Linked DNA regions of Saccharomyces cerevisiae S288C. The protein of the gene in region 2 purifies or fractionates together with the protein of the main gene of each other region. This does not show direct contact. Each region holds a gene or a part of one and is shown on either strand. Other genes may lie near its edges.

Evidence for each region.
Region 1: the proteins of RTN1 (region 2) and PEP4 purify together in Saccharomyces cerevisiae (affinity purification with mass spectrometry; 5 studies listed by BioGRID, with this or other methods). This does not show direct contact.
Region 3: the proteins of RTN1 (region 2) and SCS2 purify together in Saccharomyces cerevisiae (affinity purification with mass spectrometry; 2 studies listed by BioGRID). This does not show direct contact.
Region 4: the proteins of RTN1 (region 2) and POM33 purify together in Saccharomyces cerevisiae (affinity purification with western blotting; 2 studies listed by BioGRID, with this or other methods). This does not show direct contact.

The regions. Positions count from the first base shown.
Region 1 is NC_001148.4:259,073-262,858, forward strand, and holds PEP4 (proteinase A), read right to left. Parts: upstream 1,860-3,786; coding exon 642-1,859; downstream 1-641. Other genes in the region: KIP2 (Kip2p), read right to left, coding at 1-264; serine/threonine/tyrosine protein kinase RAD53, read right to left, coding at 2,655-3,786. UniProt on the Saccharomyces cerevisiae protein: Aspartyl protease implicated in the post-translational regulation of S.cerevisiae vacuolar proteinases. Acts on YSCB, on YSCY and on itself.
Region 2 is NC_001136.10:928,735-931,956, forward strand, and holds RTN1 (Rtn1p), read right to left. Parts: upstream 1,624-3,222; coding exon 736-1,623; downstream 1-735. Other genes in the region: HEM1 (5-aminolevulinate synthase), read left to right, coding at 1-364; homoaconitate hydratase LYS4, read left to right, coding at 2,395-3,222.
Region 3 is NC_001137.3:399,234-402,551, reverse strand, and holds SCS2 (phosphatidylinositol-binding protein SCS2), read right to left. Parts: upstream 1,418-3,318; coding exon 683-1,417; downstream 1-682. Other genes in the region: YER121W (uncharacterized protein), read right to left, coding at 1-177; AVT6 (aspartate/glutamate transporter), read left to right, coding at 1,710-3,056. UniProt on the Saccharomyces cerevisiae protein: Acts as an endoplasmic reticulum (ER) membrane anchor for cytoplasmic proteins via binding to the FFAT motif of targeted proteins. Regulates phospholipid biosynthesis by modulating the subcellular localization of the transcriptional repressor OPI1.
Region 4 is NC_001144.5:97,497-100,910, forward strand, and holds POM33 (nucleoporin POM33), read right to left. Parts: upstream 1,341-3,414; coding exon 501-1,340; downstream 1-500. Other genes in the region: HIF1 (Hif1p), read right to left, coding at 1,548-2,705. UniProt on the Saccharomyces cerevisiae protein: Contributes to proper distribution and/or efficient assembly of nuclear pores. Required for normal pore density in the daughter nucleus during telophase.

The DNA.
Region 1 (3,786 bases), on a different chromosome or scaffold from region 2:
ACTGTCGCTCCGCCTGATCCTTATCCTACCTGGGTGAAGGAAGGGATCGGATTTGGCTGATACGGATCTTAGTGGGGAGTTACTTCTAGTGGAAGATGCAGAAATCGACTGAGAACCCGAATTAGAGGTGCTCCGTATGGAGTTTCTTGTCAGATTAGAAAACGATGAAGTTGATCGTACAGAGGGCGATTGTGGGATATTACTTGAACCAGAACTAGACCTCGTTGATGGCCTCCTTAAGCTTGGGCTCATTTTTTGAATCATCAATGGTGGTATTATGGTAAGAATTTTATCAAGTGTTCTATGTTTGCCTTGATTTCAAATGTTTCTAGAGCGCAGCCTGTGAATCTCTGCAGCCTATTTCTTTTTATTTTTCGCTTCTGCTTACATTGCTTTATTATCAATTGTTCCGCTATTGGAAAAGGATAAACAAGGAAATTCTCGAGCCGCATCATCGGGCTACCCGCATATAATGACATTATGGGCAGCAGCATAGAACAATGGATTCTAAAACTGAGGACAAGATGGTTTGTCTTGTTTTTTTTTTTTAAATATACTATAGTTTTTTTTATTGTTATCTACTTATAAAAGCTCTCTAGATGGCAGAAAAGGATAGGGCGGAGAAGTAAGAAAAGTTTAGCTCAAATTGCTTTGGCCAAACCAACCGCATTGTTGCCCAAATCGTAAATAGAATAGTATTTACGCAAGAAGGCATCACCAACGATGGCCAGTGGGCCAACAGGTTCTGGGAAATCCATTGGTGTAATTGCAGAGATACAGGAGCCTGAAACTTCAAGCGTGTAATCGTATGGCCCAATAGTGAAGTTGTAGCCATTGAAGTTGAAAATTAGATCAGGTAGATTGTCTCTGGTGTTACAGTCTAGAGTATATTGACCGGTCCAACCCTTCTTGGCCCCAATTTCAGCATTAATCATTTCAGCTAATCCTGATGGCAAGGTAATCAAAGAAGTACCAGTATCGATGGCGGCACCATGGCTCTCCAATTCGGCGTACTCGTCGCCTAAACCGATACCTTCAAACTTGACTTCCCAGTAAGCCTTACGACGAACAGGTAACCAAGTGATATCGCCCTTGAACTTAGACTCGTCAATACCACCAAAGGTGGCTTCACCGCCATTTTCAGTATCCTTTGAAGTGTCTCCCAAATAAAAGGCAAATCTCTTTTCGTCCAACAAATCTTGTTGAATGGCGTTGTAAAATGGAGGGACCACCTTATCAACAGAAATGGTATCGTAACCCAAACCCAAAATACCATCGAACTTGCCAAATGCAAATGTTAAGCCCGGCTCGCTGGTAGCCTCAGCGAAGTCTTGTTTTGGAATGGTCAAATCCCCGATGGACAAAGTGTCTTGAGAAATGTAACCTTCCAAAGAACCAGTACCATATTGAATGGCAAATTCAGTACCATTAGCTTTGTAGCTTGATGAAGCTTCATGATCGTATTTAGAATGTAGGAAACAAGCCAAGGAACCACATTCGTTACTTGGAACCCAAAGGTTTGAAGAACCAGTATCCAAAATAACCTTGAAGTTTTGAGGTGGAGTACCCAAAGTAATGTCAGTGTAATATTGTGCGTTCAAGTAATTTGTCAATGGAACATCGTGACCACCTTCAGTGAAGAAAGGATGCTCCCTAGAAAAAACAACTTCGGGGTTAGCTTTCTCAAATTGAGTCAAGTACTTTTGGCCTAAATGAGCTAAATGTTGCTCGAAAGTGACTTCTTTCATCTCATCGGACAACTCGTGTTTATAAATTTTAGCCTTGTGGACTTTTGCAGCAACTTGGTTGGCGCTGACCAACAACAAGGCCAATGGCAATAATGCTTTCAAGCTGAACATGTTAGTTTTGGTTTTTGTTTGAATTTTATTTGGATTAAATACTAGGTCACTAGGCTTTTTTTTTTTCTTTTCTTATAGAATTCTAATAGAAAAAACTTTTTATGAATACAGTAGGGTGAGATATACTTTTTGTTATTCTTCCCTTACGTGGTAGGCTTCTCAAATAAAAATAGAAAAGACCACTAAAATTTGATTATAAAGGCTTCGCTCAAAAAAGAAGAAGGTGGAATGAATAAATAGCAGCGAATTACCCAAACTTCTTTACTCTGTTCCCTTAACCAGTTGATAAGAGGTTACGAAGTACGGAAGTATGGCTTTTTATATAAATCCTAAAAAGGGCCGCCTCCGCCCCTTAATCCATCGACACCCGCAAATGAAATATAGTACCCGGAAGGCATAAGACGGGTTACAGCCTCTCCATAGATTCAATAACCGCTTTTGGTTATAGAAATAATCAGACCTCAGCAAATACAATTGAGGAGCTCAAGATATTGAAAACGGATTAACAAACTTTTTAAAATTATTTATGAGCTTGTTGTACCACATCAAGCAGGATTATGTTTTTTTCAGAACTTCTTTTTCTGATTCAAAAATTCATTAAGCATAACTAAAACTGAAAATCAAAACTTATTAATATACAAAAATCTATATATTTCAAAATGTAAATCGTATCAAAACGTCACTCTATATGTAATAAAAACCCAAAAAGTTATGAATAGATGAATTCTGAGTATTGGTATCTACCATCTTCTCTCTTAAAAAGGGGCAGCATTTTCTATGGGTATTTGTCCTTGGTTACGAAAATTGCAAATTCTCGGGGCCTTTTGAGGTTTGGTCCAATTTTGCCCTTTTAACCTTCTTACTAGGATCAATTTGTGATTGCGATAAACTTACCGAATGTATTCTCTTCAAAATGTTCCCCGTATTCGCATTAATCGGTGACTCTACCAAGTCGTTTAGTACCGAATTATTGCCGTTATTATTTGTATCGCTAACTGGCGGCTTCTTAGCCGACATTGATGAAGAAGAAGCCGAGGGTTGATTTGCACGTTGAGCTGCCATCATCTGGGTTAACTTTTTCACCAAATCTTTTTCTTCGGCTGTTTGCTTAAGTACTACTCTTTGTTCTTGTAACATACCTAATCCCTCGTTAAACAGACCTGTAGTATCGTTAATTTCCACTTTAAAGCCAATGACAAATTTATTGTTTTTATCCCAAATGATCTTGATTTCATCTCCGTCTTGTAAAAGGAATTTCGTACCCTGTATCATGCGGTTATTATTTAAATAGCTCACGTTAGTTCCGGTGTGGCAATACCAAATATCATCTAAACCTTGTGCCGGAGATTCATACATGCTTTTGCCTACAGCATGCCTCTTTTTGAAAATGAAGCAATGAACTCGAGACAACCTATTGTCTTCAATTTTACAATTGCAATCCTCGGATCTACCAATGAAAAATGGATTCACACCTTGCTGAATCTCCAGGCTTTCTTGAATAATGCTGTCAGGCAATGGTTTTAAAGTTAAAAACCTACCATTACCCTTTTTCTTTGAGCTCTTGACATTCTCAGTATTATTGGAATGTAAAAGTTTTTGTTCTCTAGTTTCTGCTTCAATGCTTTTGGGCTGTGTATATCGAATAGGGGCGTGTGCGGGTATTTTAAATCCTTGAATTTTTCCATCTTGGTCTTCCTGATCCTGTTCTTGAAGTTGTTGCTCCATTTGTAATTTCCTTTGCGCTTTGACAAATTCGTATTGAGCATCGTCCATATTTTCTAATAATTTCTGCTGCGACAACGATTGTGATAAGGATATTTGTGAAAAATCACCATATGATTGTGAGCCCAATGGACTCATCTTGATCCAGGGATGATTCAAGGCTTTTGCAGCTGTCGACCTATTATTTGGATCCACCTGTAACAAT
Region 2 (3,222 bases):
TTTGGCTAAGCAAGCTTCTGACATCTTAATCAATAAGCATCAAATCTACGTACAAGCTATCAACTTCCCTACGGTTGCTCGCGGTACCGAAAGATTGAGAATTACCCCAACGCCAGGTCACACCAACGATTTATCTGACATCTTAATCAATGCAGTTGATGATGTGTTCAATGAGCTACAGTTACCACGTGTCAGAGACTGGGAAAGCCAAGGTGGCTTATTGGGTGTTGGAGAGAGCGGATTTGTGGAAGAGTCTAACTTATGGACATCAAGCCAACTATCTTTAACTAATGACGACTTGAACCCTAATGTTAGAGACCCCATCGTTAAACAACTAGAGGTTTCTAGTGGTATCAAGCAGTAAAACAACCAATATATGCATGGGCTGAGATAGAGGTACAAGGAATTTGTAAATCAGTAAAAAAAAAAATTAACAGTTTTTTTTTTTCATTTTTTTTTTTTATTCTTATTTATGTATGATACTTTATTATTATTTCTCTTAATTATTTATTTATTTAACTAACACGATGAGCACTTTTAACTGCAATGGTTAAACTGTAGCAATGTTGGTAAAAAAGCAGGGAAAGTTCAAAAATAATTTATGTATTTTTCCTCGGGGGTACAGAAAGTAAAGAGAGAGAAACGTATGAGTATATATAGGCTAATGTAATATGTAGTGGTAAATAAAGAGACAAAAGTTAGCTATTCTTGTTTGAAATGAAAAAAAAAAAGCACTCAAGCGTTGTTTTTTTCCAATTCATTTTGCAAGTTTTTTGTACTTTTCTTCAATTCATTAGACAATTCATCGACGTTAAATTCTTGGGTAGTGGAAGGTTCGTGTTGTGGAACTTCTGGCATAACTTGAGCTGAAGATGTGTAAGCCTTAGACTCTGGTTCCAATGGAACATCAGCGGCCAACTTAGAAGTGCTGGCGGTTTGAGGACCGGCAGTAGAAGACACAGGAGCAGTCTTAGATTTGACCAAGTTGGAAATTGGGCCCAATTTAGATTCAACCTTGTCCAAGTATGGTTTTGTCTTTTCGCAAGCCATTTGAGAAAACTCTTGGGTCTTTTGCTTAGAAATTTCTACACCTTGAGCGACAGTAGCATCAATTTCATGCTTGTAGGAATGGTAGATAACTGGCAAAGTGAAGGTAAAAATGTCAGCAACAAAGACGATGGTCCAGATAGAGAACCAGGAGAAGAATTTGTGTAGTAGAAATAAGGCAACAGCGGTCTTGAAAGTGTGCTTAGGGACTTGAGCGAATACAGTCTTTCTTATGTGGGCTTGGAAGACTGGTAGCTGTTTCAAAGCTTCATCGATATGAGGCTTAATAAAGCCGGCGATATTTGGACATTCTTTAGGACCATACTTGGTGATTAAACCTTGTCCCAAAAAGAGCTTGGATACGAATTCAATAGATCCTGTTGTGAATAAGATAGTGTAGGCAACCTTCAAAAAGAAAGTGATCAAGTTAACTTTTTTCAAAATTAACAAGGCTAACAGAGACCCACCGAAATATTTACCGGTTTGAACAGGGTTCCTCCATAATAGCAAATCGCAATTACAGCTTTTTTGTTGTTGTTGTTGTTGGGCTTGGCTATGTTGAGCTGAGGCGGACATATTTGCGTGTGTGAATATATATTATATATATATACGCTTGCGGGTAGGAAGAAACAATTAAATATTTGGCTTGAGAGTTGAAAAGAAAGAGATCAAGAAAAGGGAATTGTTGAATAAAAATTTGAAAAATGCGAAGTTGAAGTGCCATAGAAGAGAAACAGCCCACACAGGGGAGAAGCCCACTGGAAAGGGGGCACTGACCAACTTTAAATAGGAAACAGAAGATACCACAAGCCAGCGATACAACAGCACCAAACACCGAAAAGAATAGCCAAAGCTGTCCTCTGGTGTTGGAAAAACTGGAAAAAACGCAACTGCGTTGGCTGCTACGGTGAAAAATTTTCCTATGACTTTTTTCACTGCTTGTTCGTGCGAAATTACCGCAAACCCGGTAAAATGTACACGTATCAAGTGATAAACAATTTCGTGTCAAGTGAGCAGAATGGAGCGATTTGGAAAAAAAAAATTTTTATTGTTTTTTCCCCCGGGATTTTGCTCGAGATGACTGAAATTTTGTAATCGATGAGTCTATACCAGAGGCAGCAAATATCACCAACATACACAGGTATACACAATCTCATGTCCACACACACGTACAGACACGCACATATATATATATATATATATATCCCCATAGGTATTTATATATACAAAAGAATCCTCGTGTGTTTGTGTGTGCAATAGCTAGTTTTGCGCTGCCTCTTATAGTAGACAATATCACTTTTTCAATAAAATAGAACTTGCAAGGAAACAAAATTGTATCGCTTCAAGATGCTACGATCAACCACATTTACTCGTTCGTTCCACAGTTCTAGGGCCTGGTTGAAAGGTCAGAACCTAACTGAAAAAATTGTTCAGTCGTATGCGGTCAACCTTCCCGAGGGTAAAGTTGTGCATTCTGGTGACTATGTATCGATCAAGCCGGCACACTGTATGTCCCACGATAATTCGTGGCCTGTAGCTTTGAAATTCATGGGGCTTGGCGCTACCAAGATCAAGAATCCTTCACAGATTGTGACCACTCTGGACCACGATATTCAGAACAAATCAGAGAAAAATTTGACCAAGTACAAGAACATCGAAAATTTTGCTAAGAAACACCATATAGACCACTACCCTGCCGGTAGAGGTATTGGTCATCAAATTATGATTGAGGAGGGCTATGCTTTCCCCTTGAACATGACTGTCGCATCTGACTCGCATTCAAACACCTACGGTGGTCTGGGGTCGCTGGGCACTCCAATAGTGAGAACAGACGCTGCAGCCATATGGGCCACGGGACAGACGTGGTGGCAGATCCCACCAGTGGCTCAGGTTGAGTTGAAAGGTCAATTGCCTCAGGGTGTTTCCGGAAAAGATATCATTGTCGCATTATGTGGGCTTTTCAACAATGATCAAGTTCTAAATCACGCCATTGAATTCACGGGTGACTCTTTGAATGCATTGCCTATCGATCACAGACTCACTATTGCTAACATGACCACCGAGTGGGGGGCTCTTTCTGGTTTGTTCCCCGTGGACAAAACTTTGATCGACTGGTATAAAAACCGTTTGCAAAAGCTGGGCACCAATAATCATCCAAGGATTAATCCAAAGACT
Region 3 (3,318 bases), on a different chromosome or scaffold from region 2:
AGAGTCTATACCCACTTTCCAAAACGAGTTCATTACTTGATTACCATATTCGTTAGAAACACTTGCATTTAAACTATCACTTGCCGCAAGGGCGTAGTAGTGCGCATCCTGTTGCATTTCTTCGCTCTTTTCCTCTGCTGGCCTTGAATTCTTGTCGTGCCAGCGCGATAAGCCCATGTTACTATATTGTCAATATGTGAGTCCCTCGTTCACTATGAGACCTAGCAAAAAACAAACTGAAAGTAGGTGGCTGTTTATGTATTCATTTATTTATGGACCTTTTAGGCGCGACCCCCTCGCAAGATCTTCGTTAATGTGCATCCAAGACCCTCCCCTCATTTAGTAGACCCCGCATTGTTATGGTTAATAACGGATAGTTATTTGCCCAAGATAGCGCCTACTACACTAGGGAAACCGAACATGAATAAATTAAACAAGTAATATGTTACAACAGTGGTATAGTTATCGATTATTCTCCTATTTAAAAAATAAAACATATAAAAAAGTTAGGAAAGTATGATCTTTTAGTTCCTTGTTCTAGTATTGTAAAGGCTACAGAAGGAAACAATAAAAAAAGATTGTAGAAAAACAAAGTAAAATAAAGACTGAAAGGAAGGAAAGGGCAAAACACACACATATATAAATATATATTTAGAATACAGCTATATCCTCAATCTCCCTATTATCTGTAGAACCATCCTAAAACCAAGATAAGGAGTGCAACCAATATGAATATACCCATGCTGGATGATTCATTTTCTGCAGGTACGGTTGCGGCTTCCTTTATCTGGTTCTGTGGGGCCGGAGTGCTGTTGGACGTTTGCTTCTCATTTTCATGAGGAACGGTTTTCTGAACGACAGGTGGGACCTCTTCTTTCTTTACTTGGACGGGAGGTTGAGTTTCCGGTTCAGCAGGGACCTCCTTTTCGTTTACCACAGCAGGCACTTCCTTTGGCTCACTGTCTTGGACTACTGGTTCAACAGTTTCCTTGTTTTCCTGTATATTTTGGTTCTGTGCTGGGTGTACATCTGGACTTATCAAATATTTGACTTTTATCTTTTTAGAGATAGCCTGTTGCTTGAACTCAGCCTCCAAGTCGGACCAAACATCTGCAACAGCCTTGCCATTGAGGTCGTAAGGAGAAGGCAACGTGATAACCAGGAACTTGTCACGGCACTTAAAGTCTGCGGCAGGCTCTTCAGTCAAACCCAGGAAGATAACTTGAACCTGGATTGTTTCACCTGGAGCAACAACTGCGGCGTTTGGTCTCACGCAGTAAAACTTTGGGGCTGTGGTCTTGACCTTAAATGCAATGGTTTGGTCTGAATTGTTGGAAATACTAGCGTATTCTGTCGATTGCTCCGTTAATGGAGACTTATACACCAACACGTCAGGGGAAATTTCAACAGCAGACATACTTAGGTTCGCGGAGATTGTAGAATACCCTTCTGCTACACTATTAACACAGAATGTGCGTCAAACCACACCACACAATAAACAATGCACTTTGCTACTAAAACCATTCTATTCACCTTGCGAAAACAACAAGCGAAAAAAAAAAAGCGAGGGCGAAAGAGTAAGATCACCACGCACGTTTAGGGGATCGGAGAGCTTATCTATACAGCAACTAGAAGTATATAGAACAACAATGGTCGAACGACGGGTTAGTTTCACAGCTCAATAACCATAGAAAGGAATCGTGCATCATATGGTAGCTAGTATTAGATCAGGTGTGCTGACACTTTTACACACGGCGTGCGGTGCTGGTATCCTGGCCATGCCGTACGCATTCAAGCCGTTTGGATTAATTCCTGGAGTGATAATGATAGTGCTGTGTGGGGCGTGCGCTATGCAAAGCTTGTTCATACAAGCTCGTGTAGCTAAATACGTACCACAGGGGAGGGCCTCGTTCAGTGCTCTGACGCGGTTGATTAACCCAAATCTAGGTATTGTGTTTGACCTAGCGATCGCTATCAAGTGTTTTGGTGTGGGCGTCTCTTATATGATTGTAGTTGGGGATCTGATGCCCCAAATAATGTCTGTGTGGACCAGAAATGCTTGGCTGTTGAACAGGAACGTGCAAATTTCACTGATCATGCTTTTTTTCGTGGCCCCGCTGTCTTTTCTGAAGAAGTTGAATTCGTTGAGGTACGCTTCCATGGTGGCCATCTCTTCTGTAGCGTACTTGTGTGTTTTGGTGTTGTTGCACTATGTAGCACCATCAGATGAGATTCTTCGCTTGAAAGGCCGGATCTCCTACCTCCTGCCACCACAATCGCATGATTTGAACGTGCTAAACACTCTTCCAATTTTTGTCTTTGCCTACACATGTCACCACAATATGTTTTCAATAATCAATGAGCAGAGGTCAAGCCGGTTCGAGCATGTGATGAAGATTCCACTGATAGCAATATCTTTGGCTCTCATCTTATATATTGCGATCGGCTGTGCTGGATACCTGACATTCGGCGACAACATCATTGGAAACATTATCATGCTGTACCCGCAAGCGGTCTCGAGCACCATCGGCAGAATAGCGATTGTGTTGTTGGTGATGCTGGCGTTCCCACTACAGTGTCATCCTGCAAGAGCTTCAATCCATCAGATTTTGCAACACTTCGCCGAGGAAAATGTAAGTATAAGTGCTACATCGGCGGATGAACCCACTGTTGCTACCGAAAGTTCTCCGTTGATTCGCGACAGTAGCCTTGACCTCAATGAGGTAATTGAAGAAGAATCTATTTATCAGCCTAAGGAGACTCCATTGAGAGGCAAGAGCTTTATTGTTATAACGTGCAGCATTTTAGTTGCATCATATCTTGTCGCCATTTCGGTTTCCTCCTTGGCCCGTGTACTGGCCATTGTTGGGGCCACAGGCTCCACTTCTATTTCTTTCATTCTGCCCGGGCTCTTTGGCTACAAGCTTATAGGAACTGAGCACAAGACAGCCGTGCCATTGACGACAAAGATTTTCAAATACACAGGTCTTCTCTTGTTTATCTGGGGGCTAATAATCATGATCACCTGCCTGACCGCAGCTTTGAAGCTAAACTAAATAAGCAAGAGTATACTCATTCTTTTTTTGCTATTCCTCCATACGTACATAGACCCTTGAACCTACATATCCGCGTAAGAAACTATTAATAACCTAGCACCTGCGTTAAATCAGAAATTCTTAATCGCGTTTTACATTCCCAACGCGTTCAATCTATTTACACACAACAGCTTTCGGAGTCGGGCTTTTGCTTCATACGTATTATAAAAATTTCAGCGATTGCTGAAATATGCAAAGAACACAGGAACACGAATAAAGTCAT
Region 4 (3,414 bases), on a different chromosome or scaffold from region 2:
TTCTGTATAAAATCTGCTTGATCTGTTGGAATTAATCAATTGAAGAATAGAAGTAACTTAAATAAGAGAGTATTATATTTTCAACATTTTTTGGAGAAAACCCAGCCCAATTGCGGCTTATATATAACAATTCGTCCACACCTTCCCATAGTGCTTAAGAATGAAATTTCGTCAAAACCTCGAAGCTTTTTTTTTCGAAATCTTCGATGGAATGTTCTAGAAAAAAACTTCGAGAAAGTGAATCGGAAGAACTTCTCGGAAAAAAAAGCTTCGGAAATACTACGAATAAGGGCCCAAGAGAGAGTAAGAATGCAGTGCCATGCAGTCAATTCACCACTGTGAGACCGTAAAAGGGTTGGTTGAGTAACTCAATTCAAGGAATAAAGATATAAAATTGATAAAAAATATATAACAAATTGTAACAAAAAGCAAAAGAGAGGAGTGGAATGTTATACAAAGTAATTAGAAGGTATTGAACTTGTAAAAAGTAATAATAAAACTCAATTCTGCTTCTTGGTCACTTGTGGGGCACCGCTTAAGCGGTACTCAGACAAGCGGATCAAGCTCATTTTAATTGCATTATAAGCTCTTTTGACGAATGGTGGGATAGATGGGTGGCTTATGATCCCGTCCATTCTAACTCTCCATTGAGCAAAGGCGGCTTTCATGTACTTGGAGTTTTCGTATCTTAACTTAATAAAGATGGCGTACACAACAAGTATGATCCAAGACCTTTGGAAGCACAGAATGGCTCTGAAAAGGACCAAAATGAAAATAAGCAGCTCAGCAGTACCGACCCAGTGCATGCACAAGTCATTGTACTGAACAACAAACTTGTCGATGAAGCTGAGGATCTTACTTGAATCTTTACTGGAAAGGTGGAAGACTTTTGGTAAGAGAACTTTTTCAACGTAGATTAAAACATGGAATACAGCAAACGCGAAAAATGGGATTAAGCTGAATGAAAATCTTGGAGTGAACAACCAGAAGTTGGCCAAAACCAAATAAAGCACGTCTTCACTCTTTAGGAGTCCAGCAACGCGTGATTTTATGGAAGCCTTAGTGGCAGCGGCATCTTGAGTCTGCAATGGTTCATTGCGGGTGAAAAATTGCTGGTAAATGATGATACCGAAAGATTCGATGACACCGAGATATGCCGATCTGTAATAAAATTCTGACATCTTGAGCAGGTAAAGAATGGAGCTGATCAATACGACGGAATGACCGGTAAACCATGCAAACTGCAAGCTCTTGGCTACTGCCATGAACCTTTGCACGAGCGACTTATCTCTGGCAGGGAGGTTTGGGGGGCCTTGGTTATTAGCGGGTCTTGATGACATTATACTGACTATTCTTGGCTAGTGTTTCTTGCTCCTTATGAATAGAGAAAAATGACTTTTTTTAGATGTAGTAAGTATGTCATTTCAGGGATGGTCTGCTTGCTCTTTAAATATTTTTTCACCCTTTTAAAATGGGGCCCTTTCGCCGTACCAAAGAAGGAGAAATATACATTACGTATGTAGGTTGCTACATTTTACACAAAACTATCAATGCCTTCTAGGCTTCTTCTTGACCAGTTGAGAGAGATCATTGAAGTCACCAAGGGGCTTTTCGAGGGCGGGGAAGCCGATGGAGGTCGTGGGCTGCGAAAGAGGCCTCTTGGAGCCGTGCTGCTGATTTTCTTGCACCTCATCAATATCGTCTTGAATCTGTGCGAGCCTTGCCTGCTGTAACTCGCTGTCCTTGGGTCTTGTAGTCATGTGTTTTTCAAGCAGAGCCTTGGCATGCTTGAATCTTTTTAGTTTGTCCTTAGCCGGCACCTGATCAACCCACCTTAAAGCATCACACACCAAAAATTCTGCTTGTATCACCTTCTCAGTTACTTGTTCTGCGGGTTTCAAGGTCTTGTAATAGCCAAGCGCCTTCAAGTAATGATGAATGGCTCTACTGAACATCTCCGCCTCCCTTTCGATGTCACCCATCAGGATATACACATCACCGATGCGCAATCTGCTGTTCTCGGTTAGAGATTGGCCATCTGCTGTAGGGCGGCCCAACAGCATCAAGGCCTGCGCCAGTAGGTCCAAAGCATTCTCATACAGATCATTTTCAAAGTAAATGTGGAAACCAGACTTGCGAAGTTGCGATACGTCTTCAATTTCATCGTCATGTTCATTCGCTGGACTGAAGTTAGCCAATTCGTGCAAAGCTAAGCGTTCTTCCTCTTTCTCCACGTTTTCTTCCTCTTCTTCGCTACCTTCGCCACTGTCCTCACTATCACCACTGTCGACATCACCAGTCAAGTCTTCCTCTTCTTGGTCGAATTGGAACATCCTAGAATTAGGAATTTCTGTTTGACCGTTCTCGTTCCCCTCTTCTCCATTGCTCACATCAGACTCAGGCTCAGACTCAGACTCAGACCCAGATCCATCGTCACCTGCCAGAAGAGCGTCCCCAAACAGATTACCAGAATTCTGTACTTCCATGTTGTATACAGCTTGTGCGAATATAGTAAACAGTTCAGGATCAGGCAACAAACCATCTTTTGGGAGAGAGTCCAAAGTTTGTTGGCAGCGTTTAGCAGCTTCTAAGAACTTTTTCTGTGCGAGTAAATCTTTTGCAATTTGAACCTGTCTTTCCATATCAATTTGAACTTTATGTCTGCTAGTTCCGTTTGCCAACACGTCTTCTGCCCTTAGTTTCATATTCTGTTACTTCTAGAAGGAGACCTCATCGCCGATGTTACCTCAAAATTGAGTAGAATGAAATAATACAAAATTGGAAAAAACGCGAAACTTCAGTGCAGTAACATATCGTTCCGACATTCTCTGAGAAGTGGTAAGATTCCACTGCCGGGGAGCTACGAGTGCTCTTGCAAGTTTTTAGACACTGCTATATCCTTCGACTACGTAACCCCATTTTTTTATTTTTCTATATAAAAACATGCACTGTATACATATAATCACGTAAGTTCAAGTCGTGCTTAAAACGGGCACAGAAAACTAACTATGAGTTGCCGTACCATACATAAACTAGGAGAAGGTAGCGCAGTTCTTTTTTTTTACCAAAGGTTTGCACAAAAAAGATGGTCTAACGTAAGTAAGTTATCAATAAAACTGTTAAAAGTAGTATAAGAATCTTGAGATAGGCTTATTATTATGACTTTTTATGGCGGAAAAGGAAGAAGAAATACTGCGCCGGGTGATGCGTGACGCGTTTTTGGAAACGATGAGAATAAACTTTGAAGTATTTTGAGAATAATATTCTATTATCGAGTTCTTTCAGCAGAAAGCAACACATAGCTACGTATAGTTCGGTAAGATAAATTTGGTCAGAAGCGTGTGAAAGACGCTGAGAAACCACGTGAGACGAAGATTCAAATCAAGGCGTGAGGAATAACGCAATACGAGCCAC